Linked DNA regions of Bombyx mori. The protein of the gene in region 3 purifies or fractionates together with the protein of the main gene of each other region. This does not show direct contact. Links are inferred from orthologs where the notes say so. Each region holds a gene or a part of one and is shown on either strand. Other genes may lie near its edges.

Evidence for each region.
Region 1: the proteins of CD2 antigen cytoplasmic tail-binding protein 2 homolog (region 3) and ubiquitin carboxyl-terminal hydrolase 39 purify together in Homo sapiens (affinity purification with mass spectrometry; 5 studies listed by BioGRID and IntAct, with this or other methods). This does not show direct contact. The link is inferred for Bombyx mori from reciprocal best matches to the Homo sapiens genes CD2BP2 and USP39.
Region 2: the proteins of CD2 antigen cytoplasmic tail-binding protein 2 homolog (region 3) and pre-mRNA-splicing factor ATP-dependent RNA helicase PRP16 purify together in Homo sapiens (affinity purification with mass spectrometry; 3 studies listed by BioGRID and IntAct, counting the BioPlex papers as one, with this or other methods). This does not show direct contact. The link is inferred for Bombyx mori from reciprocal best matches to the Homo sapiens genes CD2BP2 and DHX38.
Region 4: the proteins of CD2 antigen cytoplasmic tail-binding protein 2 homolog (region 3) and small nuclear ribonucleoprotein protein F purify together in Homo sapiens (affinity purification with mass spectrometry; 4 studies listed by BioGRID and IntAct, counting the BioPlex papers as one, with this or other methods). This does not show direct contact. The link is inferred for Bombyx mori from reciprocal best matches to the Homo sapiens genes CD2BP2 and SNRPF.
Region 5: the proteins of CD2 antigen cytoplasmic tail-binding protein 2 homolog (region 3) and U4/U6 small nuclear ribonucleoprotein Prp3 purify together in Homo sapiens (affinity purification with mass spectrometry; 3 studies listed by BioGRID and IntAct, with this or other methods). This does not show direct contact. The link is inferred for Bombyx mori from reciprocal best matches to the Homo sapiens genes CD2BP2 and PRPF3.

What each region holds. Positions count from the first base shown.
Region 1 is NC_085121.1:4,079,902-4,086,554, reverse strand, and holds the start of ubiquitin carboxyl-terminal hydrolase 39, read right to left. Parts: upstream 4,070-6,653; 5' UTR 3,948-4,069; coding exon 3,887-3,947; intron 3,807-3,886; coding exon 3,658-3,806; intron 3,422-3,657; coding exon 3,307-3,421; intron 2,561-3,306; coding exon 2,385-2,560; intron 2,162-2,384; coding exon 1,936-2,161; intron 1,773-1,935; coding exon 1,649-1,772; intron 1,550-1,648; coding exon 1,390-1,549; intron 1,206-1,389; coding exon 1,015-1,205; intron 755-1,014; coding exon 602-754; intron 1-601.
Region 2 is NC_085117.1:18,328,835-18,334,702, reverse strand, and holds part of pre-mRNA-splicing factor ATP-dependent RNA helicase PRP16, read right to left. Parts: intron 5,594-5,868; coding exon 5,391-5,593; intron 4,802-5,390; coding exon 4,703-4,801; intron 3,657-4,702; exon of another isoform or gene 3,644-3,656; coding exon of another isoform or gene 3,267-3,643; intron 3,072-3,266; coding exon of another isoform or gene 2,939-3,071; exon of another isoform or gene 2,627-2,938; coding exon 2,497-2,626; intron 2,419-2,496; coding exon 2,329-2,418; intron 1,211-2,328; coding exon 1,073-1,210; intron 1-1,072. Other genes in the region: uncharacterized protein LOC105842458, read left to right, coding at 2,939-3,071, 3,267-3,643. UniProt on the Homo sapiens protein: Probable ATP-binding RNA helicase. Involved in pre-mRNA splicing as component of the spliceosome.
Region 3 is NC_085111.1:10,748,351-10,754,989, forward strand, and holds the start of CD2 antigen cytoplasmic tail-binding protein 2 homolog, read right to left. Parts: upstream 4,378-6,639; 5' UTR 2,926-4,377; intron 2,602-2,925; 5' UTR 2,468-2,601; intron 2,242-2,467; exon of another isoform or gene 1,996-2,241; intron 1,871-1,995; 5' UTR 1,858-1,870; coding exon 1,675-1,857; intron 1,486-1,674; coding exon 1,179-1,485; intron 371-1,178; coding exon 1-370. UniProt on the Homo sapiens protein: Involved in pre-mRNA splicing as component of the U5 snRNP complex that is involved in spliceosome assembly.
Region 4 is NC_085117.1:15,789,605-15,795,295, reverse strand, and holds small nuclear ribonucleoprotein protein F, read right to left. Parts: upstream 3,172-5,691; 5' UTR 3,094-3,171; intron 3,012-3,093; 5' UTR 3,001-3,011; coding exon 2,826-3,000; intron 2,168-2,825; coding exon 2,076-2,167; 3' UTR 1,779-2,075; downstream 1-1,778. Other genes in the region: RAB6-interacting golgin, read left to right, coding at 4,557-4,635, 5,148-5,601. UniProt on the Homo sapiens protein: Plays a role in pre-mRNA splicing as a core component of the spliceosomal U1, U2, U4 and U5 small nuclear ribonucleoproteins (snRNPs), the building blocks of the spliceosome.
Region 5 is NC_085130.1:18,555,042-18,560,909, reverse strand, and holds part of U4/U6 small nuclear ribonucleoprotein Prp3, read right to left. Parts: intron 5,461-5,868; coding exon 5,271-5,460; intron 4,253-5,270; coding exon 4,169-4,252; intron 3,016-4,168; coding exon 2,894-3,015; intron 1,915-2,893; coding exon 1,723-1,914; intron 1,301-1,722; coding exon 1,173-1,300; intron 1-1,172. UniProt on the Homo sapiens protein: Plays a role in pre-mRNA splicing as component of the U4/U6-U5 tri-snRNP complex that is involved in spliceosome assembly, and as component of the precatalytic spliceosome (spliceosome B complex).

The DNA.
Region 1 (6,653 bases), on a different chromosome or scaffold from region 3:
GTAATGTTTTTATTAATATACTGGGAAACACGCTATTCTTGGTTACGACCGTGCCATAGGCTATCTTGACTACAATCATTAAAATCTTGGAAGGAGTTTCAGGCCTAGGGTCGATCCTCCCCCGAGGTTTTCGAAACTAGGAGGAGCATCGAATATGTGGGACTATGACTGAAGAAGTTGATAAGAAAGACCTAACAGAACTTTGATATATTCTAAAATGCAATTTCCTAGAAATATGGGAATAATAGCGAAATTCTCGAAAAATACTTATAAGGTGAACATGTGGTCTTGAAATTATTAATACGGATATTTACAGAATAACCAGCATGGTAGATACTGACAAAACAAAAACCTAACTGCATTAAAAATACTGACTATAAAATAAAAAACAACCTCTATAATAGGTACCTCTAAAATACTGACGTGAATATTAGTAAGCATTGAAAAATACATAAATTAAAGATGGGTGTGGACGCTTTAAAACCTTTTTTGTGATCAAATATCTTAAAAGACAAGTAAAGTGTTGGCATAATTGTATTGGTACTCCGCATCACTCAAGCGGATAGCGCACCCCTGCCATGAGTAAATATGTAATAATTACCACTGCTGTGTAGGCTTATGCAACACGTGAGCTCTGTATGTCCCTTTCTCAGGTGTTCCATCATGAACAATGTTACCAACCAGTTCGTATATTGTTTTTCCGTTATGTTTCGCCTTAATTTCCGCAGTCAGTATATCGCCAAAATCGACGTTTCTAAAATAAAATAGGTTAATTAATTTAGACAACTAACATTGTTGTGAATGATGGACATTTTAAAAACACTTCTATGGCCAGAACAGAAAAGCGTTGCGTTTTGCGAATAATAATGTTCAAAATGCCAATATCATTAAATTAATAAATAAACGCAATTTTTCAACTGTTTTGATAATTTTAAATTTAGTTAAATTTGTTATTTAATACAAGCTTAAATCAACTATTTTCTATCAAATAAGATCTGAACAATAATGACTCACTTGACAGGAAAGTTTACAACTGTAGGATTCTTTTCAACGAAAAAAGTATTTTTCGTAAACCTTTTTATGTAAAGAATTAGATAAGGAGGCAGCTGTGTTATTTCAAATCTTTTCAAAAAGTTCTCTTTATAAGTCTTGTATTCTTTTGATGTTTGACCATTGAATTTTGACAACAGCTGGTAAAGATTTACCTGTAATATCACAAGAATGTTAAAAATATTCAAGCAGAAGTTTCAAATAGTTTTTATGTTAAGTTTTTTGTTTTAAATCCTATTTAAGTGGATGTGAATTGATATAAAAAAACCAGTCTTAATAAAAAAATAAAAAAGTTAGTGAATACAATTTTTAAATTGCAACAATACTAGGTATTTTCACCTGTGGAATAATATTTTCGCGGAACTCATCAGTGAACAATGGCGTTGGAGGCAAATCACATGTGAGGTACAAAAATGGAGACTCAGTGATCATTTCATTGTACTCTTCACTGCTAAGATCGACTTTAGCTGCATCATCAGCATCCGGCGGTGGCAACTTTCTGAAAATTTCAGTCTGTTCAGAAATTTTTGACTGCATATAATGATAGATTAAATGTTAATTATTTTGAACTTTAAAAAATCAGATGCTTAAATCTTACCTTGTATAGATCCTCATGTGACCCAGAAATGACTTATAAATTATGGAGCTATTTGGCTTCTTTGTACCATTCAGTGCCATGTGTAATGAATTTAGAAACCAAGACAGAAAGTCTATTGGATCACCTGAGCAAAAATTTATTTATTTATAAATTTTTATTATTATTATAAAACAATATATAATTAAAATATAAAACTGATCAATCAATATTCATACTTTTTAGCATAATATACAGAAATTACACTAAGAAAGCATGTTCGTATATCCAAAAAACTACTAAAATCTTACTCTGCTTAATAAACTGATATCGCTTCTTAGACCACAGCACAACAGCCTGCAACATCTCGTGAGGAGATACATGTGCTTTAAAAGCACGGGGGTTCCATAGTTTGCGTAATAATTCACCAAATCTTTGTACAAGTAAAAAAGACGAGTCCCCTGGTGGTCTTTTTACACTAGCATAGTTCTCTTCTCTCAAAAAGTAGTTACGTAGGGGACGTACTTGTGACAAACACTAAAATCATAAAATGAATTTAGTATAAAACTGTGACAATATTAAGACTTTGTAGCACTGTGTAATTATTCACTACAAATATACATAATGGTTAAAACAGAATCAGTTTGACTGTAACGCATCTACTTTCACAGATCGCCGGCAACAAAAATATAAGTCGCATTTATCATACAATAAAAACAGTACATATCATAAAATGTATTTAATAAAAACATATACTGACCTGCAAAATTACATTACAGTAATCATTGGCCTTGATATTATTAAGGCCTACAATGCCAGGCATATACATTGTGCCATCAATGGCTCGTGACATCTTTGTGTTAGTATCTATAAGCTTGATCTGTTCAGGTGTGAATGTTGGGTTCAAAACATATTTGATGTCATTCAATGAAGAGTCTAAAATGTGAAATTGTCTTTTTTTATGACTGTGATAGGTAGATTAGCTCCCGGCTCATCTGATGCTATGTGATTACCCGCATCCCTATAACAGGAGTTCTAAGTCTCAGTTTTACAGTACAACAGTAGCTGTCCCCTTCACCAATGCACATTATTGCTTCACGGCAGAAATAGGCAGAGTGGTGGTACTTACAAATGCAAGCTCTTAAGTCACCCTTAGAACAAATTATAATTTATGCAAGTTTATTATAATCACAAGATGGATTTGATACATTCCTTCACCAACGAAGTGTTAAATACATATTAAAAAAATTGGTACCTGCCAACAGAATTCAAACACCACCACAGTTGCACTGCCCAATACAAATGCACTGGGTGTCTTGTCCATTAGACTATTACAAGTTTTAAAGCTTTACTGTACTTCTAGTCATTGATACCTAAATTTAAGCTTAAAAGTATTTTACTTGATTCCATTTTGGTGTATAAAATTTTAAAAATCAGTCAAATTTTCCTTATTATTAATTTACTTACAAAAATAAAGTCTAACAATTTATTTTAAGTTATCGCATGTGTTAACAACTGTAAAATGCACCAATTCTTAATCATAATATTTTATAAATATTTTCAATGCACAAAATCATCAATTGACCGAATTCATTTATATCTTATTATTATTTTATTTATAATTAATTTATATCTAACATAAAAGCTATTTTAGCTAACCAAGTTAAAAATATGTAATTTACCAATAACTTCATAATTGTCAGGAAGACAATAGAACTTTAATGTGTTAAGATTCAAAAATACATGGTGTCCATCAGCCACTGAATGTGTGTAGGCATGAGTGTTGGTGCCTCTTCCCTGGAAAGTAGATAGATTTTAATGATTTTTTCGCAAGTGATTAATTCAAATTTATGCCTAAGTCAACATAAATAACCTATCTTACATATCACTACAGCAAAGAACTGGAATGAAATGCCAGGAACAACACTGGCGCTCATAAAAATCGTCATCATGAAAACAAGTAACTTGCCTGTAAAAAAAAGTTCAAGCCTCTAATCACCAAAGCCATGACAATTGCATAAATATTTTGTTACCTGAAAATATTTACCGCACACTAAGCAAGCGTAAACATTGATTCTAGTCAATGAAACCGAGCACAATTTCTCAAAGTCAAAATCTAAAACATGCCGATTGATAGTATCCAGGTAAGGACATTGAATTTGTTGAGTTTTCGAATATCGTCCTGAAAATATAATAATACTTTGATTACAAATAGCAGTAGAGTGCAGAATCATAGAAGGTTAGAATTGCATTATCAAGTACCTTGTTTGTCAGTCCCATTTTCATCAGTTATTTTGCGTTTTCTAGATTGTTCTTCAGTCATTTTATTACTATCATAGACTTTAGACAATGTAGTTAAATGAAGAATCTGAAATCTAAATGTAAAATGTAAATATTAATCGTTAAATGAACTTTTTATGGGATTTTATGATACGGTAACTAAGACCTTTAGGTCAGGTCTTAATTAAATTTATATTCTTATTTTTATGAAAAATGGTAATACGAAGTGGTATGAAATGAAATGAGATAATATAGTATGAAATATGAAGTCGTCGTGGCCTAAAGGATAAGACGTCCGGTGCATTCGTGTTGAGCAATGCACCGATGTTCGAATCTCAGGTGGGTACCAATTTTTCTATTGAAATACATAACAAATGTTAACGATTGACTTCCACGGTGAAGGCATAACATCGTGTAATAAAAATCAAACCCGCAAAATTATAATTTGCGTAATTACTGGTGGAAGGACCTCTTGTGAATCCGCGTGGGTAGGTACCACCACCCTGCCTATTTGTGCCGTGAAGCAGTAATGCGTTTCGGTTTGAAGGGTGGGACAGCCATTGTAACTATACTTGAGACCTTATCCATCCTCCAAAAAGTTCACTAAAAAGTATCAGTAAATGACCACTATCATAGTGAGATTATATTTTATACCATATCATCTCATCTCATTTCACTTCATATTATCATTTTTCATAAAAATAAGAATATAAATTTTATTAAGAGTTGACCTAAAGATCTTAGTTACCGTGTCATAAAATCCATTAAAAAATATTTTAGTAGGAGTATGTGTTCTATTTTCGAACTGGAAAGGCAAAAGTATGATACCATACAGCCTAATCTTTCATATTTTTTTGCTTATGATAAATGATTATATGAAATGAAATGAAGTTGATTAATTTGGAACAATAATCAATTGGCATGAAATGAAACGTAATGAGATGAGATGAAATATAGTCTCAGTAAAATGGGAATTATTTTCTGAGACTTTTTCAATGGACTTTTAAAAAGATCCCGAGAAGCTACATTTAACGGCTTTGTTGCATATTCATACATTTGTGCACTTTCAAAGGTATTATACAGTCAATTAACCACCATTATTACGCATTTTAATCTGAAAAGACACTACATAAATTAAATAAAACAATTGACACTGCTACGCTCATAGATTAATATTTGAAAGCTTCGCTCCTCGAATTTCCGCCAAAAAGTTATTATTTTGCCAATATTGTAATTATAGAGTAACTTGGCAATTTTTGGTAATATTTAGGCCTTGTCCGCACAGCGATATTTCACCGCGCGATTTTTTTCTCGTAATTCTGTAACACATTTAATATTATAGAAGTATCCGCACTGGCGGGAACGAAATCGCGCGGGAAAAAAATCTGTGACTTGATGCAAATTGAACGCGAAGCGGTGCGATTTATTTCCGCGCGAATATTTTGTATCGTGTAGAGTAAGTATGGCTATGTTCGCACTGTGGAATAAAATTCGCGCATTTCGCTCATAGTCCTACAACCTCGCTATTGAAAAGATGTAGTAAAGTAGTTGTAGTAAATTATCGAATGATATTTTTGTCATTCTGTAATAGCCAAAAAACTTTTTGCTGTATTTTCGCACTCTTGATATTTTATGTAGAAAAAACTTTCATGGGTCTCAATGCCGTAAGTGGGTGAATCCAATTCTCATGAAATATTTTGATACGTTTGTTACGCCATCTTAGCATTAGATAAATTAAAATTTTTGTTCGGTTGTCCATTTTACACGTGCGTCTCAGCCGAGAACTTAAATAAACTGACGAAAATAGTACAAAATTTTATTCGCAGTGCGTACTAGGTGTAATGTCGATCGCGGAATTTAATACGCGCGAATAAAAACCTCGCGGTGAAATATCGCTGTGCGGACAGGCCCTTACTTTATACGGTATAAAATGTTTGCGCGAAAATAAATCGCACCGCTTCGCGTTCTATTTGCATCAAGTCACAGATTTTTTTCCCGCGCGATTTTTTTACCGCCAGTGCGGATACTCCTATAATATTAAATGTGTTACAGAACTACGAGAAAAATATCGCGCGGTGAAATATCGCTGTGCGGACAAGGCCTAAGCCATTTGTTTTTCTTTGACATTGAGATTGTAGGTAAGGATAATGTGCCGGATCAAGTATCGAGTATAGGAAGGTCGAAAACCCCACTAGAGAAGACGTTATAAACGTCAAGAAAATATTAAAAAAATTTGTGGGAACAAAACAGAAAGACATTTTGTTCAAACGAAACAAACCGATAGAGAATATCGATGCTTACAGTGACTCTGATTATGCTGGAGACCCATTGACGCGAAGAGGCACTTCTGGTTCCGTGCTAATGATAGCTGATGGACCATCCAAGAGGCAGCCTATAGTAGCGCTAGCGTCGACTGAAGCCGAGTACATAGCCGCAGCCGACTGTTTGCAAAGAGGCATTGTATCTCAAATCTCTATTACAGGAAATAACCGGTTTGGACATAAAAATAAATCTGCATGTTGATAACCAAAGTTCGATTCAACTTGTGAAGTCTGGATCCTTCAACAAAAGGTCGAAGCACATAGACGTACGGTACCATTTTATACATCAACACTTCGTGCATGGATTAATAAATATTAGCTACTGTCCCACAAAAAATCAGTTAGCTGACGTAATGTCAAAACCATTGTCAAAAGTAAAATTTGAAAGACACTGTGCAAGATTAATGCATGTATAGAAACATGTGAAC
Region 2 (5,868 bases), on a different chromosome or scaffold from region 3:
CCGGCTCCGCTCGGGTCTTTAACAAAAATTTCAAAGATATTTGACGATGTTTTATTTAAAAAAATAAAAGAAAACTTATTGCGGCATAACTATAATAGTTAGATATACACTGTCGCGACACTTTTTGTAAACAATAATGTGTACTACAAAGTCGTAGTACATTATTTTTTTCTATCACCAATAGTTTTCGCAAGGCACGCGATGTAAAGAATATTTTAGGTTTTTTTTTTACACCTTGGGTTACATTATTGGAGTTTTAGTAAAGATCCCTAACTTTTTTCAAAAAAGATTATTGCCTATGTCACTCAGGCATAGTATAGCTTCCAAACAGGGAAAGAATTTTTGAAATCGGTTCAGTAGTTTCGGAGCCTATTCAATACAAACAAACAAACAAATCTTTCTTCTTTATAATATATAATATTATATATAATATATAATAATATATCTATACTTATACTTAATAGTATGAGTATAGATATATTTTAAATGACAGATAGAAAATTAAATATACATAATATATTTTTTAAATACTTCATTAAAATATTGGACGCTACTCGTTGCTAACGCCCGCGCTGGCCTGTAACAGGTATACTACGCGCGTGTGTTCGAGTGCCACGCATTCACTCTCGCTCGGTCTCTTTCTAGTACGGTAGCGTTAGACGTTTAACGCAACTTCAACTTCAATAAACTTTACTCAAAACTCTGTTTCTAACGTGATATAAACCTGGTCTCCTTTCTGAGCCGATCTGTGTGAACGGACCCTTATTCGAGAAAACCACGGGAACGATTCCAAGAAACCTTTCCTTGTAAATAACCACACATTTACAAAAATCTATTTATCAATTTAATATAACCAATTTAAGTTTAGCTCCCGTTTCAAGCACCTTAACCCCATGTATTATATACGCATCATCATCATCCAATCATCCGTGATTACTAAAATTGTATAGTATTCGCAACATCGAAACTAATTTAATGGCAACAAGAAAGCGAGATTGAGCCGTAACACTGGTAATAATAAAGTTGAATATTGATCCGCCACCGGCGCCCCACCAGCCCGCGTTTTGCTCACCAACTATGATGACGACGTTGTTCTCCCGGATGACCTGCAGCAGCTCCTCGCGGACGGCGAACACGGGCAGGTAGCGCCTCTGTTCCGATATGGACATCTTCTTCACGAAGTCCGACTTCGATTCCGGTTCCTGAGCTTCTGAGAATGAAGGAAAAGTTTTATAAAACAAATACATTGCGCGTCGTGTGGTGGACACAAATACCTACATTGCGCGTCGAGTTGGCGGGCGAAGTCGCGGGCAGCTAATTGGCGTTAAATGTTTCGTTTGTTAACACTAATCATACTAACCCTTACTGGTACCTATTTCTACCATAGCGGGTAGATAACGGTATACGACAAGTATTACTCAAAATACACAAAACAAAACAAAAACAAAAAAACAAAATGTGTGCAATTCACACGTGGTAGAAGTGAAACCTTCCAAAATTAAAATACAATTATCCTAAACGTCTTAAGTATATGTAAAATTTTGTCATTAGTAAATAATTGTAAGGTAGCGCCCTCTGTGAATTGATATTTTAATTTCACGTATAATCCTAAATTAAAATTCACTACAAGAGCTTTCATACACACGTTAGTATTGAAAAATCTCACAGATGGCGCTGTATTAAATAGTATGTATATTTCTGTCTCATTCTTTGCTGGCTTCATCCTACACATTTTTGTATTTGTGTCTCTTACCTGTCGTTTTTTCCGTTGCATCCGGTTTGAAATCACAACGATTCTAAAGAAGTTTTCACTTCAAAAGTAGTATAATAACTGTAGATTAATTGGTAAGAATAAGTCATGAAGATGATACGTGCATTTTCATTGCAAAAGTTCAAAATGGGTCATTCGATACGTTATTATGTTTAGTGTTAATTTTATTATAATGCTTCTGCTAGTAACTAATAGTGATTTATTAGCAGTTTAGCGTCTGTGTACGTAGCGAAAAATGATACAAAATCACTGGATATGGCTTCGCACTTTCCTTCAAAACATCTACACTGGGACATTAGGGTAATCTCGTTTCATTTCATGTCAATAGATTAAAAAATCTATTAAAATAAATCAACTTAACTTCATTCATCATCATTTTATCATGTAAGACGGAATATTTATGGTTCTAATAATTAATGGTTTTTATAAATTCATTAATATTGGTTGGTGGTAACATTGGCGTTGCAAACGCATATTGCCAGATTGAAAAAAGGAAGTAGATTGAAAATTACTTCGTAACGAAAATGAAATGCACACAGCGCGCTTCACGTACATACCTTTATCTAAATGCTCCGCGTATTTGTACGCTTCTCTTGTAGGGCCATCTTCGAGTTCTTCTTTTTCCCTCTGTATTCCCATGATGTTGCCTGTATTAAAAAAGAGACGTTATAATTTTAATGTGTCTAGTAAAGCCGGCGAAGAGAATATTGGCGGGTATCATTTACCTAGTTTGGTTCCCTCTAATTTCCAATGTTTCTTCTGAGCTTTCCGTCTCTCCTTTTGTTCTCGGAATGCTTTCACTAAGGCCGAGCCTTTTCGTGCGTTTACCGCCATATCCGACGTAGGATCTTTTACCTAAAAAGTTTTTTAAAATATTATTAAACAAACTTTCTAATCGATATCACGAAACTAAAACTATAAATTAATCGATTAAATATAAATTAATCATAAGTAATCAGATGTAATCAAGTTTTAGGTATATATTTTATTTTATTTTTGTTGTCAATTCACTGTCGTTGCACCTACAGATCGTTCACCGTAAGTTGTCCCCTGCCGTGATGTTGGCACTATTACTTGTAATTTTTGTCAATCTGTTGTTGTCAGATTGTCTGTTGTGACGTGTGCCGTTAGTTTTTGTGTTAATATTTAATAACCTTCAAATTATTCATGCCAAAGCCATTTAAAAACAGTGCAAGAGAGATTGTGTTGAAGGTTCATGCCTTTTGTGAGAGAGAAAAGGCAAACCAAGCCCCGTTAATTAGACTCGATCAAGTGCGAGCACGAGTCGCCGCAATGACAGGTTAGTAAAATGGGGATACAAGCTTCAGACACAATGCCTTTAGTATGGGTAATAAGAATTTACTGACATATAGAATTAAAATAAAAAAGTACACATCTCAGTGAGTTTAATTTATTTCGATAATATGGTCATTACTTGAGTTTATATAAATATTAAATTTTATAAAAGGATACAAATTTTATGTCTTTATTTCAGGCATGTCTGAGAAAACTATGAGTAGAATAACTAAAGAAGGTGAAGTTGCTGCCTCTACGTCTCAAAAACTCAAATCTCGAGTAGCTAGCAATAATGTCGGCCAAGAAGCTGGTAATATCGTGAAGTTAACTGAAGAAGCTTTTTCATCGATAACTCCTCAGGATTGGCAAAAACAGCGTGAACACGTAAAACATTTAGAAGACAAATTTTATGAACGTGATGGCTGCATGGATAATATTACGGATAAATTCATAATTGAACTAAGAAACGACAGCAGTACAGATTCGGATACGTCAGACGACGCTTATGCAAGTGACAGTCTGGAATCGTTTCTTTCGACCATAATTACTGTCAGTAAAAATGAAATAAATAAATAATTTAAAATTTAAATTGTGTTATAATTTACAAACTTCCTAGTCTGTTAGCTATATATTATCTAGACATATAATAAAAATAAGTCAGGTCGATATCTGTGCTTTGAAGATATTGAAGAAAAACTAATATAGGGGGTCTTTATTAGAGCAACAGAAGCCAAAACAATAATTTTACATTACACACAAGATAATAGGGAGTAAAAGGTACATATATTGTTTGCAACACCGTTAGCAATGCTACCAACTCTCAAGGCAGGGGACATCTTATGCTGAACGGTCTGTATAATTGAGGTGACATCTGCCATGTACTTTTGTCAATTTATCAATGTCTTGTATTGATAATCACTTTGTTGGTGCAACTAAATAAATAAATAAAATCTTATTTACTTATACATATATATTTATATATTTTTTACAATAGTGGCATTGCTCATGTCGATGAGCGACGATGACCACTCACCATTAGGTAAGGCGTAAGGCTGGACTGCCTTCCTGGACAATAATAAAGTGAATACCGGAGTCCCTCGACTTTAAACCATAAATTATGTCAGCCGTGCTTACTAATGAGGTTAAAGAATCGATATTTAAAAAATCTGTGCATACAAACGAAACTGCATTTTTTTATGATTGAAGGATTACTGGTGGCCCGGAGGCCTTTCCAGTTTCACTAGGACAGGTGGGCAAGCAAGGGCTCGGTCAGGAGGGGTGGGATTTGCTAACAGCAGCCCGAGCGCGTCCGAAGGAGATCTAACAACTCAAGAGCAATTGCTTCGCGAATGAATCTACTACCGGATCGGAATCGCGACCCGCTGAGAAGATCCGGCGAGAAACTCAGCGGGCTGATGCATGGGTTAAGATGCATATTTATTTCGCGGCGCGAGTAAGCAGAACGGTGACCCACGCGTGAAGCAGTCCCGTGTTCCGTTTTGAAAGGGGGGCAATGGATACACAATGCTACGAGACTTCGACTTCACGTGACCAAGGACTCTGGTGACCATATCACACCAGATGTACCGACAGCAATACAGACAGTAACTTTACGTGAAGTTTATGCACACGTACCGGTATCACGGGCTCCGGCTGCTTCGTGAATATGATTCTTCCGTCGAGGAATGGAGGCACGATGTTGTGCACCAGCAGGTGGACGCGGTCAACGCTCTCCTGGAACACAGGACACAGAACTTATTGTACAGACTTTTTATGTTTCCCTGTTAGTTTTCTGTTATAGTCTGTGACAAAAATAAATATAATCTGTACTTTACGTTCTTTTTTTAAAATACTCATTTGATTCTCTGTTTAACATAAACCTCTGAATATGACCACGAGACTTTTTGACGGGAACGCGAGGAGTGAAATTGTGTGATTTGTTTTATTTTGTCTAGTTAGTGTTTCTTCAGGTTTAAATGTGTAGTAACTGTGGTTTATTAACTGTTTATTATCTGTGAAAGTGCATAAATGTGGGAAAATTAAACAAAGCCACCGAACGTGACTTTTCGGGATCCTCCAAAAAGTCCACTGAAAAAGCCTCAGCAAACGACCACCATTTTACTGAGATTATATTTCATACCATATCATCTCATCTCATTTCATTTCATTTCATATTATCATTTTTCACAAAAATAAGAATATAATTTTAAATAAGACATGACCTAAAAGGTCTTAGTTACCAGGTCATAAAATCTCCAAAAAAAAAAAGAATACGACCACAATGTGCGGCGGTGCGCTATACAAGGACCTGTCAGTTGCTCACCTCATCCATATCGTTGTTGACGTTGATGGCGTGGACAACCCCGCTCGTCAGCATCCTGTTCCGTTCCCAGAGGTCGTTGTCCTTGTCTATTTGCTGTCTCTGAGCGGACACCTTCCTGTTGCGACGTTTCTCTATTTGTTCCTCCTTGCGCGCCATGTACTCCGCGCTCGTGTTGCCGAACGGATCCGATTCATCGGCTTCACCTGACAAATTATTATTGTTGATTGAATCACTCTTCAGGTGGAAACCTACATGACATATTAGCGTAGTAGACAAATTCTAAGAATATTTACTGAATCAAAAGGAATAAAATCAAATAAAAAAAGAAATATTCAACATAAAGTACATACTTGTTGAACGTCAAAAAGAACTACCGCCAATTCACAAAAACTAGCCTTCGACCTGAGAAGAACTGGCAAGAAACTCAGCGGGCATATCTTTTTTTTAAATATATATATATTTTTTTTATATTCATTTT
Region 3 (6,639 bases):
GATACTTCAGTGTCATCATCTTGGTTCCATTTGAACTCCCATTTCAGTTCTTGTGTCTCATTTTCAGAGGCTTCATCATGGGTATTATTTGTGTCATTTTGATCACTTTTATTTCCTAGAGTTTGTTGTTCTTTCTGATCAAAATCATCTGCATACATATCTAGTTCAGTATCATCATTCTTATTTTTCTTCTTATCTAATAGTTTGCTTATTTTCTCATAGGACTCCTGATAGATGTCCATGTTTCCCATTTTTGTTAAGATTTGATTAGCAAGTTCAGTAACTCTTGTTACAATTTGACTGTTTCCATCAACAATGCCAGCTTTTTTTCTTTTCCAACGTTCTGCACTAGACATTTTAGAAGTGGCACCTGTTTGTAAAATATTATATGTTCATTTAGTAATTCATCCTAATTATATTATCAGCTAAGCAATAAATAACAGTGGAACATGTAGTCTGCATATGCAGGACCAGCACCCTACCTATTTCTGTGATGAATGCGTAATATATTTCAGTTTGAAAGATGAGGCAGCTGTTGTACTGTAACCACGGAGGCCTTAATATTCATATCTCAGGGTGGGCGACAACATTAATGTTGTTGATGTCTATGGACTACAGTAACCACTAAGCTGGGCTGTAAGATCTTCCACTCATGGAAACTATTTGTTAATAATTATGTACATTGTTTGTAATAATCTTTTTAAAATATGTGTGGTTTGTAGGCTATTAATAGACTGTCAAGTTATTGAACAGCACCATATGATACTGAATGTAATTCTTAAAAGTAGAGAAATTTAAATTAATTAACATGAACAAACAACAACAAACAGTAAAAAATGCAAGAATACTATGAACATTTCAAAAGTTTTAACATGCAGGACCTGCTAAGTATATGGCCTGATGCATCTCAGTTACAGCTCCTTTTACTAGATTACAGCTTTCAAATCCTCTGGATATTACTCCACTTGGATTGCCCGGTGAAGTTAAAAAAGCCAACAGCAATACCTCCACACAGGTGCTCCACCTTATTATACATACCAAATGATTCCCATTTAGAGACACATTTATACATATAACATAGTACTATGGTGAACATTTGGTAACAACCGTTTAAGAGCACTAGTCAGATCAAAAACTTATTACAACATAATTATAACTGGTACCAGAATAAAACTTACCAAGTCTCTGTAAAGCTTTGGCAATTGTTTCTTTAGGTTTCATATGTTGTAATATTTCTTTATAGTTATGTATCAAATCAAATTGTTGTTCTTGTTCATCTTCACTACTAGATTCATCACCAAGTCCTTTTTCATCGCTATGATGAATTTTATATTTATCCTCTGGTCTACCTTTTACTTTAACCCAGTCAATGTTATCAAGCCATCCATCACGAATTTCTTTTTCTTTTTTCCAATGGTAATGTCCTTGTGTATCAAAATGCCCTTCTTCAAGTTCTTCTTTCATGTTAAAAGGTGTTATTGTAATCTATAAAATAGTACTAATTAATGAAATTAATATTTTATTTGATAGTTATAAGTATTAATTAAGTTGTTAATATTAAATTAGCTGAATTATCCTCAAAAGCATTTTAAGTATTGTTTGGAAAAAGAAACATTTTTTAATTCTCACAACAATTTGAGTATTCTGATTAGGTTTTTGACTTATTCTACTCACTTCACCTTCCATTCCACCAGTTCCTTCCTCTTCACCTTCAATATCATTGGAGTTCATAACATTATTCTTCTCTTCTTCAGCACCACTATCTTCTTCGTCGGAATCCAAGGAATGTTTCTTGCCATCCTTCGTGGCCTTTTTTACTTCGTCTATTAATGCTTCGGAAGCGGGACGCTTTGACATTTTGGTAAAGTAACTAAAAGGAACAAATTTTAATTAAAAACATTAAAAAATATTTGGGTTTATCTAACAAAGACTTTAAACTATAGGCACATTCCTAAATTATCATTGAACACTAAGCAAAGTTTTACTCATCCTCACCCTAATAATATTTTGGGCGCCTTTTCTTGAATAGGTGAACTCAAATTGAGTGAATCAGATTCAACTAGGTTGGTACACGGTTGGTACCTCTTCTTAATTGTGATTGTGTGTCTGTTGCCGTGTGTTAGGTACGCTATCAATGAAATCAATGTTTTTATGTCTATCAAGGTATGGTCTCAAATCTCAATTATTAATTTTATTATGTGTATCAATGACTCGAATATTTAAGTGTATAATCTATGTCTATGACTACGATGTTTGGTTTTAGGACTTTTTGGCGGGAACGCGAGGGGTGAAGTTGTGTGATTTGTTTTATTTTGTCTATTTAGTGTTTCTTCGGGTTTAGATATGTAATAATGGTGGTTTATTAACTGTTTAATATGTGTGTAACTGTATTTTTCTTCTTCTTTACTTAGACATTTTTGTCCACTTTGAGATTTAATTGTTATATATCTGTGCAAAACCGACTTACTTATATTAAATTGCTTAGCTATTTCAACTAAAGACTTATTCCCAAATTCATAGTCTTCTATTGCTGTTTTTAATATTAAGGGATCATATCTCTTATAAAGCTTGCACTCTTTGATACATACACGCGAGGCATATCTAAAAATAGAAAACAATACGTAACTGATAATATAAATATAATTGCACTAATAATTAAATAAAAGTTTTAGACAAAAACATCATGAATAAATGAGATTCTTACCAACACGTTTAAAAAAGATTGTTATAACTACATAGACAACCCTACAATCCTGTACGTATTTATACTTAAGTCGTTCCCATTCAACTTATTGTCGTCCCAATTGACCTCCCTTTCATTGTTATTTGTAGCTCAGGTGACCCCATTAACCCCAAACATAACAATTTTAATATGTATTTTTAAATTATCAAAAAACATTAAAACCAATAACAATTGAGACTTACCGTTAATATATATGATGGCTCAAACACTAAATAAAGTTTTTATATCACAGTCGTCTTATATTATTATCAAATAATATATGCTGGCTTAACCATCAACTGGTGTTCGGTTGTAAAGGACCTAGGCCTACTTATTGACTCCAGCCTGAGTTGGCGAGCCCAGGTCATCTCCGTGTGTCAGTGAGTTACACTTACACTCCGTATGCTTTACCGCCTGAACAATATCCTTCCGCCCGAAACCAAGAGACAATGCTCGTTTAAACTTTGATCTTCCCCATGATCGACTATGGTGATGTGTGCTACTTTGACCTGAATGCAGATCTACTCAATAAACTTAACCGGCTTCTCAATAACTGCATTCGATTTATTTATAATCTTCGGAAATACGATCATGTATCTTCTCATCGCTCCCAACTCAAATTGCTCCCCATTCGACAACGCCGTAGCTTGCGTGCTCTCAGTACTCTTTACTCTTTGTTGCACTTCCCAAATCCACCTGAATACTTAGGGTTTGACTACAGCCAAAATCTTCGTTCATCTCACAATCTTCTTCTTCGCTGTTAGTTCGCAGGTAGTTCGGACTTTTTACATTCTTCCTTCACTATTCAATCTATTCTTCTATGGAATGCGCTCCCACTTAAAATAAGGTCGGCCAGAGTTTAAGACAAGGTTTCGAGTACTTAGAATCAATTAGATGACTCTGCTAAGAGTTAGCAGAGTCATCTAATTGATATTTATTTATATATACACATTTTTATATGTATATATTTATGTATATGTATTTATTTAACAAACAAACAACTGTCTGTACAAACTGTTTAAATAGCACTCGGGAGTTATTTTGCGAAAAAAAACTGTCACACTTTTGGATTAGAAAAAAATAGATGTTGCTTCAGCTGAAGCACTGTAGTGCGCTACCGAAGAATTACACAATCAACGTGAAAAAAGAGCAACCGGTTGGCGATGTATCGCATCCCGACCCGACAGCCTGGTTCTAGTCCAGCGGGGTATTCCGGGACTCCAGTCGCACTGTGTGGGTGGCCTGACGGGCTATCGTACCCAGACGGCTGACGGCTGTAGAGCATTCCGTCTCAAAGGCTCCGTCGACCGGACGTCCTCGGGGGAGCTGCGCTGTCTGTAGTGTTGACCGCGATAACCCCTTTACCTCACCCGGGTTCTGACCTGGAAGGGTATCAGACGATTGGGCGAGAGTGCAGGGGAGTTGTGTAGTGGGTATGGCCCTAAATTCTATCCTTTAGGCCCGCGGTACCGGCGAAGGCGGACTTTCGGCGCGGTATTGTGGGTTTCGTGGAGTCGTAGCGGTCAGTAAGCCCCCTCAACCGGGTAACCGTACGGATTCTACAGCGTTAAAAAAAAACAAAAAGAAGGCCCGCGGTTCACTCCCATACCCCATGCGCCCCTAGGGGCGGGGTATTCCTAGAAAGTTCGGCCCCCAGTCCAAAAAAAAAGATCAAGCACTTCAAACCGCATTTCGTCGACTTTCGCCAGGGAAACTGCTTAGCTGAGTGTTAAGCAACATACCTTGATAAAAAAGTCGTCGGGGCCTAAAGGATAAGACGTTCGGTGCATTCGTGTTGAGTGATGCATCGGTGTTCGAATCTCAGGTGGGTACCAATTTTTCTAATGAAATACATACTCAACTAATATTCTGGATTGACTTCCACGGTGAAGGAATAACTTATTTATTTATTTTATTTATTTATGTACACACAGAAAAAAAGACATAGTACAGAGTAATAGGAAAATTATGTACAAAGGCACTGCTTATTTCTTTAAGAAATCTCTTCCAGCAAACCTGCGAGAGGATAATGAGAATAATAATAAAAAGTGATAAGTGTGTGTAGAACAAATAATACATAACTAAAACAACAAATACAACATGAGAATTATAGTAATGCACTTACACATACCAAATATTGTTAAACTTGAGTACAAAATATTATAAGTCACAGTAACACTCGTATATACGAAGAGTATAGAACCATGATCACTCGGTTGATGAGAGATAAAATTGTTTGACCTTGTATTTAAAAACAGAAACAGACTTGCAAACTCGGATGTCAGCCGGCAACGAATTCCACAGTCTGACCGCGTGCACAGTAAAGGAGTGAGAATAGAAATTGGTTTTGTGAGAAGGGAATAACAAAACAGAACGTTGGTTGGACCTGCAGGGAGCATCAGGAGAACGAATGAAAGAGAATCGCTCACGTAAATATAAGGGAGAAGTGGGCTTATGTAGGATATTGAATAGGAGACATAATATTCGAGTATTCCTACGAAGGCGTATAGGGAGCCATTTAAGTTCTTTGCGAAAATGTGAAACATGATCGAATTTTCTGAGATTGTATATAAAACGGATACATAGATTTTGCATCCTCTCAAGCTTGTTTGAGAGCTCCTCAGTGGCATCCAAGTAGCAGGCATCGGCGTAATCAATTATGGGTAGAATGAGAGCTTGGACGAGAGATATTTTTGTATGCTGAGGTAAGAAGCCCTGCAGACATCTCAACGAGTGCAAGGCGAAGTGCACCTTCCTACTAATCTCAGCAACGTGAGAACTCCACGAAAGATGTCGATCCATACACCCAGGTTTTTAACTGAATCGGTTAGAGTTATTTGAGTCCCATCCAAATAAATTGGGGGGAGTATAGGATCGCTGAGTCTACTGCGCAATTGTTTACCCCCTATAATGATAGCCTGTGATTTTCCCGGATTAATGTGCAGACCGTAGGCTTTTGCCCATTCAGTGATAGACTTCAGATCACTGTTCATCGCAGCAATAGCCGATTCAACGTCAGGCTCTGAGAAGTGGCGATATAGCTGGAGATCGTCTGCGTAGAGGTGGAATTTAGAAGATATAAGCCTAGTGACAGAGTTTATAAACACAGAAAACAGAAGAGGAGAAAGAACACCACCCTGGGGAACGCCCGCACTGACGTTCTGCCAATCCGAGAAAGTCTCGTCAAGACGGACACATTGCGAGCGCCCCCGAAGGTAACTATCAAACCAGTTAATAGCAGACGAGGAGATATTGTTTGATTTGAGTATTTCGAGCAGAACATCGAAGTCAACAAAGTTAAAGGCGCTGCTGAAATCTAACAACACTAATAAAGTTAGTTGTTTGTTTTCCATGGCCCAGCGAATGTCATCGGTCACTTTTAGAAGAGCTGTAACCGTGCTGTGGCCCTTGCGAAAACCAGATTGGAAGGAGCTAAGAAGATTGTGGGAGAGGAGAAAAGACGACAACTGACGGTGGACAATATACTCAAGGACTTTGGAAAGAAAAGGAAGTATAGCTATAGGACGGAACTGAGATGGCAAAATAGGATTGGGGCTTTTTGGGATAGGAACAACATAGGCTTGTTCCCAAGAATCAGGAAAGTTGCTAGAGGTAAAGGAAATGTTGAAAATATGGGTAAGTATAGGTGCTACCGTTGGAAGGATTAGGGCAATCATTTTAGAGCATACGTTATCAATTCCAACAGCCGTGGATGAGATGGAGAAAAAGAAATTACGGACATCAGCAACCGAGACTGGACTTAAGTCAAAAATAGGGATCCGGGGTACGGATAGACTTGAAATCTTAAGCAACGTGGCCGTCTTTGACGAGTCACTAAGTGACACAGGAGGGAGAGAAAAATGCTTATTGAGGGCGCACAAGTCAGTATCCTTGACAGAAGAGACGGGAGGATAACC
Region 4 (5,691 bases), on a different chromosome or scaffold from region 3:
TGTAAACAGTGGTTGTTGGTATTTCAGGGAAGGTTCATAGTACCACAAAATAACGAGAGGTGGCGCTCGATTTCTTTTAATAAATGGGTGTTTCTCATAAATCTAGAATGTATTAACAACTGCCTGAACTTCTTCATAGCAAACCTAACACATCAAGAGCAGCTGTTTCGCTAATGAATCGATAACGACATTGTGATAGCGATCCGCTGAGAAGTGTCGGCGAGAAACTCAGTGGGCTGATGCATTCTCGCTTTACTGTCGAAGAAGGTGTCTTCGACGCTGTTTTTATCCTCTCAAAAGTCGTGAAGATTTCAAATCGTATCTGTCTTCAGCGAAATCGTATCATCTTGTGCCGAGTCTTAGGCGGATTTTTTGAAAAATCTGATAAAACCATTTTATTCATTACAGTGGTTTTATTATGTTACCCACTCACATTTTAACAAATACTTATACAAGACAGAGGGATAGCATTTTGACGTGATTAATCGATAAGTATTGGCTACACGCACGAAAAAATGTCACGTTCCGCCTGAGCGTGCAAGCGAGAGCACGGAACATGCGATAGAGGCACGATCGGCCCTTTTTTTTCCCTACCTATGCTGATAGCCATGAGAGGCTATTTCAGCTTCACCCTAAGGTTTGTAGGTGAGCTCACGGGGCTCAACCGGAGAGTTGCTAACACTGACCCTAGCAAGAGCAGTGCTTCGCAGAATCTACCACCGGATCGGAAACGCGACCCACTGAGAAGATCCGGCGAGAAACTCAGTGGGCTGTGTCTATGGGTTAATTCGCTCGTCGAGCCCTTCGTCGCAAGCGACGGGTTCGACGAGGACGGTGACCAGAGTCGACCCAAGTGTTGGCTTGTGACACATTTATGTCGCGTGACGTCAGAACTAGCAGTTCGAATAGTTCTCCTACTGACTTTAACGTGTAAAACTATCGTCCGTAAACCGACTTTACAGTTAACCAAAATTTTTTTTTTGGTATTGCCCTGACATTAAGAGTACTATTGTCTCGCGAAATGGACTATAAGAATTTCAGTCATCCGTGCACGATAGACTAATGTAGGACATTAGTTTGTGACCTGTCTTTAGGTCTGCTCTAAATATGTTCTAATGCTTGTTCACCGACTTCCACAATCAATAGCTTATCCTGTAGGCGTTCAAATTCGAATGGGCAATGTTTATAAGTTCGTAATTCTAAGTGGAATGCAGGATAAGCATAAATGAGATAATATCACTATCCTGCATTCTGTACCTCATGCATCAAGGCTTAAGATGAGTGATGATTTATGTAGTGGGCTATGGCAACTACTTAATACCAAGTAGGCAGTCAGCTTTTTTCTTCATCCAGAGCAATACAAAGTGTGCAGCAATTCGCAAAATGTAGAAGTGTAACCTGTAGGAGTTTTCTATCTCGTTCTCTCACAGACTAGATACTATAAAATAATATGCATCTCTTTTTAGTCACTTCTAGAGCTTTAACTATATTAAAATAAGGTTGTATTATTTACTTTTTAGTTTCAAATCATAACCAGAATGAGAACCAAAGTTTTTTTAAATGAAAATTGTTTTTGCGAATGAGGTTGTGTTTTTAAACGAATTTGGAATCTAATACCCAAAGGCCAAAAAAGAGCAAGAAGGAATGGGGTAAAATACATTGAAGATCATTAGATTTCAATATATTTCCCTGTTTTCACATGCTCATTTTTTGCAAGGACAATATAAATCGCAAACCTTTTCTTGTAAAGTTAGTGTTGAGAAAATAAAACAAGGTTATGGTGAAAATTTACTTATAATTAATTATACAAGTTATGGAATTCATGCTGAAGAGGTTGTTTCAGACATAGTTATTAAAAAAAAAAAAGTATTAAAGTTGTTTCATTTAAACATTGTATACAACAATAGTTCCAATTAACATTTTTCTCCTCAATCATTAGTATTTCGGGATATATACCTAAGGTAATTTTACTGCTAACAGAGTAATATGAAATTTCTATTTTTTTGCTTAAAATTTCCCTTTTGCCTGTTATTCTTAAGATAATTCCTTATTCTAACTTATGTAATAATTACTAATTATTCTTTCATTTCTCCTTCTTCATCTTCTTCATCAGCTCCTCTTACATACAAGACATTATTGCATCTTATTAAAACTTCACCTAAATTACCTGGAAATAAAACCCAATACTTAAATTAATAGGGTTCTTAATTTAGTGTTTTGTATGTATGGACTAACAGAACTAACTGAACTAGTATTCAAAACAAACGCCGTTAAAGCTTTACAGAACTCTGCTGATATGACTTCATTAAGTTTGATGTAGCATGGACTGAATTACAATAAAAAAGATTCTTAAAAAAAAATATAAAAAAAAATATTTAAATGTTAAGATTTGATTTCTAAATTTTATTTACTAATTTAAATTAATTAAATTCACAAAACTATTCACAACCAAAAAGTTTGGTTTGGAATCTTGTAAGTGTCAAGTTGTCTCTTGTTATGAAATTTATTGATTTTGTGCATTCTTTGTAGCAAGTACTTTTTTTTTCTTTAAAAGGGCAAATGAACCCCATGACATTTAGTGTTAAGTGGCTTCTAGAATTTATAAGTTTATTACAATATGAATATTAAATCTACTCTTCAAAGCAGAATGCTTGAAAGCTTTGAAGTCGAAATGGGTGCAGAATAGTGTACTCATAATAGACCAAACAAACAATGAACGTCTCATTTTTAATTCAATTTTGGTCCAGGTCCACTACCAGTAGATCTTAATCTCTTGCTTTAATATGTTTTCGTGATTACTTAAAGTTGTTCACTTAAATACTAACCTGTACAAGTTCCATCGACAAGTTCTTCAGTATTAGCAAGTTGCAAATTCATGTAGCCATCTGTTGATACTAACAAACCTTTGTATTCATGACCCCATTTTAATTTAACTAGCACGGATTTACCCGTTAGACTATTAAGAAATGGTTTGGGATTTATTGGCATAGCAGCCGCCATTTTTGCAGGTTCTAAAAAGTAAATTGGATGTTAATTCATTTTCAAACCACCTTTATTGTTTTCATTGCTTATTTAAGAAACATCAGTACTTACTTTAATATCGGCTAACAAGAAATACAAAATATAACCTCAAAATGTATCGGCTTCGCTTCGAGTTCGACGCTAATTTCTACTCATAGATATTTTTTTATTTTTTATTTATGAAAGCATTGAATTTGCAACACGGCCATCAGCTACTCATAGATAATACACCACCATAGATAAAACACAGGTAGTTTAAAATTTATTATAATTAGTTCTTTCTAGGACTTTTCGGCGGGAACGCGAGGAGTGGTTTGTTTTATTTTGTCTAATTAGTCTTTCTTCAGGTTTAAATGTGTAATAACGGTGGCTTATTAACTGCTTAACTGTAACTGTGAAAGTGCACAAATGTGGGAAAACGAAACAAAGCCACTGAACGTAAGTTCTCGAGATCTTCCAAAAAGTCCACTGAAAAAGTCTCAGTAAATGATCACCATTTTACTGAGATTATACTTCATCCCATATCATCTCATCTCATTTCATTTCATTTCGTTTTCATTTCACTTCATGCCATGTTTCATATTATTCAACTTCATTTCATTTCTATAATTTTCATATAAAAAAGTTACGTAACATAAAATTAAAATAAGACTTGACCTAAAAGTTTTAGTTAGTCCAGGTCATAAAATCCCTTTAAAAAAATGTAGTAAAAAATTAATAATAGTATGTATTTCATCTTATTATTATTGAAGCCCAGTTGAAAAAAAAACTACAGAAAATGGTAATTATTTTCTTTAATTTATATAAACATAAAGTCCTGAGAAGTCAGGTCCAGTGATTTTGTTATATTTCCACAATCTTTTACACTTTCAAATATGTTTAACTAATAGAGAAGGGCTTGTAGCGACTAAAACGACACACCTAAGCTGAAAGTTCTCAACGTATTTGGAGGAATTCGCTATTGATAAAATGTGAAGAGAAGAAAAAATATGTGAAAAGCTTCCATAAAACTATATATTAGCAATAAAAACATTTAGATAAGTTTGTTTAATTAAAGATGGTATGAACGATCTTTGGCCTAACTAAAAACCATCAAATAATTGAAAGTAGAGTCGGTTTTTTTATAAAACTATTTTGGGAATAGAAAACGAGAACTTCAACATTGTGTGTTGAAGTGCTTATGCTGAGAGTAGAGCTATAACACCAAACCATTTTAAAGACAAAATGTACATATTGTTAAAATAAATGTTAAATGGATTCGAATAATTAAATGGGCGAAACACTATTTCAATGGGTTTTTGGCTTAAAAGACCAGAATTCAATCTAACGTGATTAAAAAAGTTCCAATAACGTCAAATAGTCAATGTCAAAGTAGTGTTGCAGAATAGTAAAAATTTGATGTGAATCAGTGTTGAATCAATGAAAATATAGATTTTTACGTTTACGATCTATCTATGAGTTTTGCAATTTTTTACATTAATGCACCTTATATGAAAAACATAACCCTGACATATCTATGTAAAAACAAATAAAACATGTCACAATTTACAGGTTTTAGTGAAGATGACTTGGAAAGAATTAAATCTGGCGAAACTGCCGATGAGAGTAAAAACAGTACGTATGGAGCTTGAAATATACTTTTTTTAAGCATATCAATAACTGAACGCTTATTCAGAGTTTTAAATAGTAGCGCATGCGATTAGAATTTGAAATATTAATATCTCAACATATATAAGTAGATCTAAGAACGATTTTTGGGTATAAATCAAAGCTTCTTCAAGAAAATTAGCTATATTCTAAATAATAATGATTGCCAAATGATTCTAAGAGTTTCAAGAAAAAATATAAATGATAAAAGTCACTGAAGCCAAATTGTGCAAGCAAAATTAAAGTAAAAAAAAAGTAAAATTGATCACAAATTTGCTTCTTTATTACAAATGTCAGTGAAGCATAGTCGTATCTACTAGATATCTATAATTTCTACTTCAGTAACATATAATCCACCAATTGGATTGGCCTATATCAGTGCCTTGCACAACCTTATTATTAATGGTGTGTGTAATGCAACAATTTTTACTGCCTATGAGACAGTCTACATTTAATAACAACTACCATTTTAATTACAGAGTACATAAAAAATTCTAATATAAAACGAGTTAAATTATCAATGAAAACCAAGCCATATGAATATAAGACAGCCATTAATCAAAAACAGGATTCAGACGATGGAATAGACAGCATAGATTTTGATAAATGTAAGCTTAGTTTAAAAACACCAACGTCACCCTCCAAAAATGCTAAAATGGAGGAGGACAAACAAAATCAAGTTATTTTGCAAAATAATGTAGAGGGAAATGATGAAGTACAAGTAGATACTATCGAAGCAGACAAGAGTGATATGACAAGTAGTAGAAGGAGTAGTACTGCTCCGGACATAGTGAGAGGTGTTGATTTTCAATATACAGAACATGAACTGGCCTCTCACAAAGTGAAGTTAGGAGAATTGCAACTCAAACAGAAGATTATGGAAGAACAGAATAAGAAAAGAAAGGAAATGATTGCAAAAGCTTTAGCTGACAGGTTCGATTGATGAATTAATTAATTTAAATTAGTATTATTTATGAATAATTATGGTTAACAAATACTTTTTTAATTTTAATTTAACTTAAT
Region 5 (5,868 bases), on a different chromosome or scaffold from region 3:
AGGGGTCTTGGGCATGACGTGGGAGGAGCTAGAACAGACTGCCCAAGACCGATACAAATGGAAAAATTTGATTCGAGCCCTACACCCCAGCAGAGGGTAATAGGAAAGCATGATGATGATGAAGATGATTATTAATATTAAAAATACCACATGTTGAACCTTTAAAACACTCTCCTGTAAAATTAGTAAGTTTTGAGATTATACAGTTTTAATGCGAGAAGACGACGTGTCAAAAGTGACAGCTGTCACTGTAGCCGCCGCATATTGTACGCGCTCGTACCGCTCGCGATCGAAGCCAAGTAGCAGAACGTGCGCGCGAACTTAATGAAAAGCTCGGCGCTTGATTTGATTTTGGTTTTATTTTATTCAAAAGTCGTAAATTGATAATATTTATTTATATACATTTTTATATGTAAATATATATTTATGTATATGTATTTATTTAAGTACGGGTGTTTGTATCTATAAATATGATGTATGTTATATATACACATATGTTTAAGTAATATCACTATCACACCACACTCACCAAGGTTCATCTCAAGAATGGCATTAAGTCCGCCTTTATACTGTCTAGTATATAAAGTTATAAATAAATAAAATAAATAAAATAAATAATCGCATACACAAACAAACACACAAAGCGCAGTACCCACTCGTCTATGTATATTAATGTGGAGTTCGCTCAGAGTAGAATTGCGCAGTGTTTTTGGAAAAGTATCAAAATATATTCAGTAGATTGGGGGGAATCGGGCCGCTTTCCTATTCCAACACAAATTTTCAGCGGTTTCTCTCAAGGTAATACCAATAAAATTGAGATTAAAATGGTTCCGGATACTTAAATTTTCATATACGCCGCATTATTATATATAGTTCATTGAAAAATCTATACAAAACTTTAAAAACCAGCTTCACCTGATTCACTTTGGCTTTTGTGGTGAATCGGGTCACCTATGGAGACAATAGAGTTTTTCGATAGGGCTGGCACTGTTTAGTTGTTAGATAGGTACTACCCACCTTTAGGTAATTAATTTTTCAAATTCAATTACAAAACTTTGATAACGATATACCAGTGTGAACGTGTTATCTAAGCTCCTCCCTAGAATTATGACTATGTTATTTAGGGGTACCGAAAGGGGTCAGGTCCCCCGGGGGGTTGGGAGGGGGCTCACCATTCCACGTCGGGGGGTCCGTCGGCGTCGGGCGCGTCGGCCGCCAGCAGCGCTAACCTGGTGGCGGACGAGATGCCGGTCTTCCGCGCTATCTGGGATATCTCGTTCTGCAGCTTCTCCAGTTGCGCCTGGGGAGGGGGGGATCTTCATTGACACATCTGGCTTTAAACGACATGACCATAGACAACTACAACGTAAATGCGCCACCCACCTTGAGATATAAGTTCTAAGGTCTCAGTATAGTTACAACAGCTGCCCCACCCTTCAAACCGAAACGCATTACTGCTTCACGGCTGAAATAAGCAGGTTGGTGGTACCTACACGCGCGGACTCACAAGAGGTCCTACCACGAGTAAGGTTCTGAACATCTTGTGGGATTTTGTTGTACAGGCGCACAGACAAACACCCGAATGAATTTCGTATCTTATGTAACCTACTCATCGGCACAACAAGCTTGTGTTTGTTCATCAATCATGAAGGGATCCTGTAATTGAGGTACTGATCATGAAGGGATCCTGTGGTGAGTCGAGGAGTTGTCAAGACGGAGTACCTTCATCCTTAGCCGTTCAGCCATCTGGCGGAACTTGCCGGGCTCGTGGAAGCGCAGGGGCCGCTTGGCGCGCGCGTGGGGGCGCGAGGACACGCGCGGGTCCACCCAGCGGGACGACTCCGGACCCACCTCCTCAGTGGGACCGGACAACTGAGCTTTGAACTCCTCACGTCTCTTCGCTCTTATGTTCGCCTGAAAATCGAATTATTGGGGGGGGACCAGCTCACGGCCCAGCTGGTGTTAAGTTACTGGAGCCCATAGACATGTTGGGTCTCTATAATAAGACACGTGTCCAGTTAAGTGACTAACGTATATTGGGATTACAACCTAACGTGCTATCGACAGCCCGACAATCCCGAGACTGACCTAGCATCATTGCAATATCATTACCACTAACACATACATATAATTGTTGCAATGCAATGCATTGCAATGGGGACATTTGTGGTCCCTACAGACATCTACAACATAAATACCGCCCTTGAGATGTAAATTCTAAGGTCTCAGTATAGTTACAACGGCTGCCCCAACCTTCAAACCGAAACGCATTACTGCTTCACGGCAGAAACAGGCAGGGCGGTGGTACCTACCCGCGCGGACTCACAACACATTCTTCCACCAGTAACCGCCGCTCGAAGAAATTGTTTGAGATGATCCCATCATCTCGTTTTTACCATCACACCGCCCGCCACCGGAGTAGAGTTTATCCATACTACCTGGAGCCACTGCGGTCATCCACAGTGCGCTTCCAGAGGTCTTTTCTGCCACGTACCGTCCGGCTATGGAATGAGATCCCCTCCACGGTGTTTCCCGAGCGCTATGATATGTCCTTCTTCAAACGAGGCTTGTGGAGAGTATTTAACGGTTGGCAGCAGCTTGGCTCTGCCCTTGGCATTGCTAAAGTCCATGGGCGACGGTGACCACTCACCATCAGGTGGGCCGTATGCTCCTCTGCCTACAAGGGCAATATTTTTTTTAATTTTTTTTTTATTGCTTAGATGGGTGGACGAGCTAACAGCCCACCTGGTGTTAAGTGGTTACTGGAGCCCATAGACATCCATAACGTAAATGCGCCGCGCACCTTGAAATACAAGTTCTAAGGTCTCAGGTATGGTTACAACGGCTGCCCCACCCTTCAAACCGAAACGCATTAAAAAAATCGTTGGCTAACCTGAAGCGTGGGCGCCACGTGGGTGAGTTGAACTATCCTGCCCGTGGTGTCCACGGTGCGACCCTCACGGTCCAAGATCAGGGGGGCAGGTCCCGACCCCGGCGTCGATGATAAGGCACCCCCTGACAACGAAACGTCTTTTATTGCATAACCAAGCAGAGAAAATTAAACATAAATAAAGCGTCTCGTAACTAGTATGGAGAGAAGCATGTTAAATGCTAAAACAAAAGAATAAAATAAAATTAAAAGATATCCATCCGTATGAAAACAAAAATAACGGATGTATCATACACAGTTAAAAAATTAATGTGGAAATGGATAAGTCATTTAATAAGGAGCTGAACAGAAAAATGGGCTAAATTAGTAACTGAATGGTACCCTCGAGATGGGAAAAGATTAAAAGGACGACCGTTCCAAAGGTGGGTAGACGACATGAAAGTCATTGCAGGCTCTAGTTGGAAGAGGAAATGCCACGACCGGAACTTAGGGCAGGATTTGGGGGAGGCCTATGCGAAAGCAAAACAATCTTAGTCGATGTCAAATGCAAAGAGAAAAAAGCGGTTAAGACGATGGTTCGAGAACTGTTTCTCAGAGAGTGAGCAGTCATCTAATTGATAATATTTGTTTATATATGTTTTCATATGTATATATTTATGATATCTATATATTTATGTATATCTATATGTTTAAATTCAAATTCAAATTCAAATCTATGTATATGTATTTATTTAAGTACGAGTATTTGTATCTATAATATGTATGTTATATATACACATTATGTTTAATATCACTATCACACTACACCTACCAAGCTTCATCTCTGCACTCCCCTAAGGTAGACTGTTAGAGAATGCCTGCGGCATTAAGTCCGCCTTTATACTTTATAGTATATGAAGTTATAAATAAAGTATAGTATGCATAGTACCTAAATATGAATTAAGGTTGTTAATAAAGGCTTCTTTATCATTATCTCGTACAAAACCAAATCCGGGGTTGCGAAGAATAATTTCGACAGTAATTAATTTACAAAATCCTTCATTAAAAATGAAATATAGGATAGGTAATATGTTACTGCCATCTACAGGAGCAATGAGAAAATAATCGAAGCGAAGCCATCCAGTGGCCGACGCCCGTAAACATTTTTGTTGAGTGCTTGAGTTGCTTATCTATAACTAATTTGTGTGTGTTATCTATGAGGAAGGTAACAAGGTACAGATGACTATATGATAGTTCACAACACCCTGACAGTATTAATGATCGGTGAGGTGCAAATACCTGCAAGTTTCCGCTGTATCCTCGCTTGCAGCTCAGCTATCTTCCTTTGCTTCTCCAATTCTTCGCGTGATAACGGCAAAGTTTCTGTAAAAAAAACGATTGTCTGTAAAGTCGGTTTACTGACGATAGTTGAACGTGACAACGTCATAAGAAAATACTGATGGAATGGTTTCATTTTTCAATAATTATCGTTGCTATAAACAATTGACACCACATTCACTTTTCACTGAACTTCATACTTGACGAAAACATGTAAATGTATTATTGTATAGCAGCTGTCCACGCGGATGCATCGCTCACTCAAGTAGGAGAGAGACAGATGTCGAACGCTGCCGAACGCGGAGGCCGATTGTGCCTCTTTGTCGCTCGTTGCGCGCTCTCGCTTGCACTTCAAGCCTTAAATGGAACGCCTCAGAGCGAGGTAACGCCGCATGAGTCATGTTTTTTCGTGCGTGCATCCATCGAAATATAAGACGTTGTCACGTCAAAATTATATGTATAATATATTATAGTCTTATAGTGTAAGTTGATGTACAAAATAATATGTGGGTATTGTGTTCCTTTTGTTTTTTTGTAACTCTGAAATTTCTATATTTCTCTTCTCTGTTCACTTTCTACATTTATATGTGATTTTGATTGTGGAAACATATTTGATTATTGTTTTAGCTATTTTTTTTTAAATATTATATGTTTGTATTGTACAGTTTGTTTCCCAAATAAATAAATAAATACGTGTAATACAGAACTTTTTACTGGTGGTAGGACCTCTTGTGTGTCCGCGCGGGTAGGTACCACCACCCTGCCTATTTCTGCCGTGAAGCAGTAATGCGTTTCGGTTTGAAGGGCGGGGCAGCCGTTGTAACTATACTGAGAACTTAGAACTTATATCTCAAGGTGGGTGGCGCATTTACGTTGTAGATGTATATGGGCTCCAGTAACCACTTAACACCAGGTGGGCTGTGAGCTCGTCCACCCATTTAAGCAAAAAAAAAAGCTTTTTTTTGGTCAGGAGGACATCGCCGGACTTCCGCTCTCCACTGGTGATGGAGGGCGGGGCATGTCGGAGTCCGGACCGGTGCTTGAGGTGTAAACTGAGACTTACCAGGTTTTGAATACAGTACAGGTTTGATTACACTCGGTGGGGGTATTGCATTGTTCTGCTGCATCTGCACTTTCAGGTGTTGGGCCGCAGCCACCGCAGCATTAACACTCGGTTTGGTCTCAACCCCCTTCAGCACTTGAAGAGCTCTCTTGCGTTCCTCTATCTCTTTCTGAGCGTTGGCCATCATTAACTGGAACGGATAAAATCTAATTTACATAGACTGTCATTTGGTCTTGACACAAAATTTCTGTGTTTTTGTTTTCATTGCCCGAGCAGGCAGATGAGCATACGGCCCACCTGATGGTGTTAAGTGGTTACCGGAGCCCATAGACATCTAAAACGTAAATACCGCCACCCACTTTCAGATATGAGTTCTAAGGTCTCAGTATAGTTACAACGGCTGCCCCATCTTTCAAACCGAAACGCATTACTGCTTTACGGCTGAAGTAAGCAGGGTGGTGGTACCTACGAGTGTGGACTCAATAGAGGTCCTACCACCAGTAATTACGCAAATTAAAATTTTACTGGTTCGATTTTTATTACACAATGTTATTCCTTCACTGTGGAAGTAAATCGTGAACATTTGTTGAGTACGTAT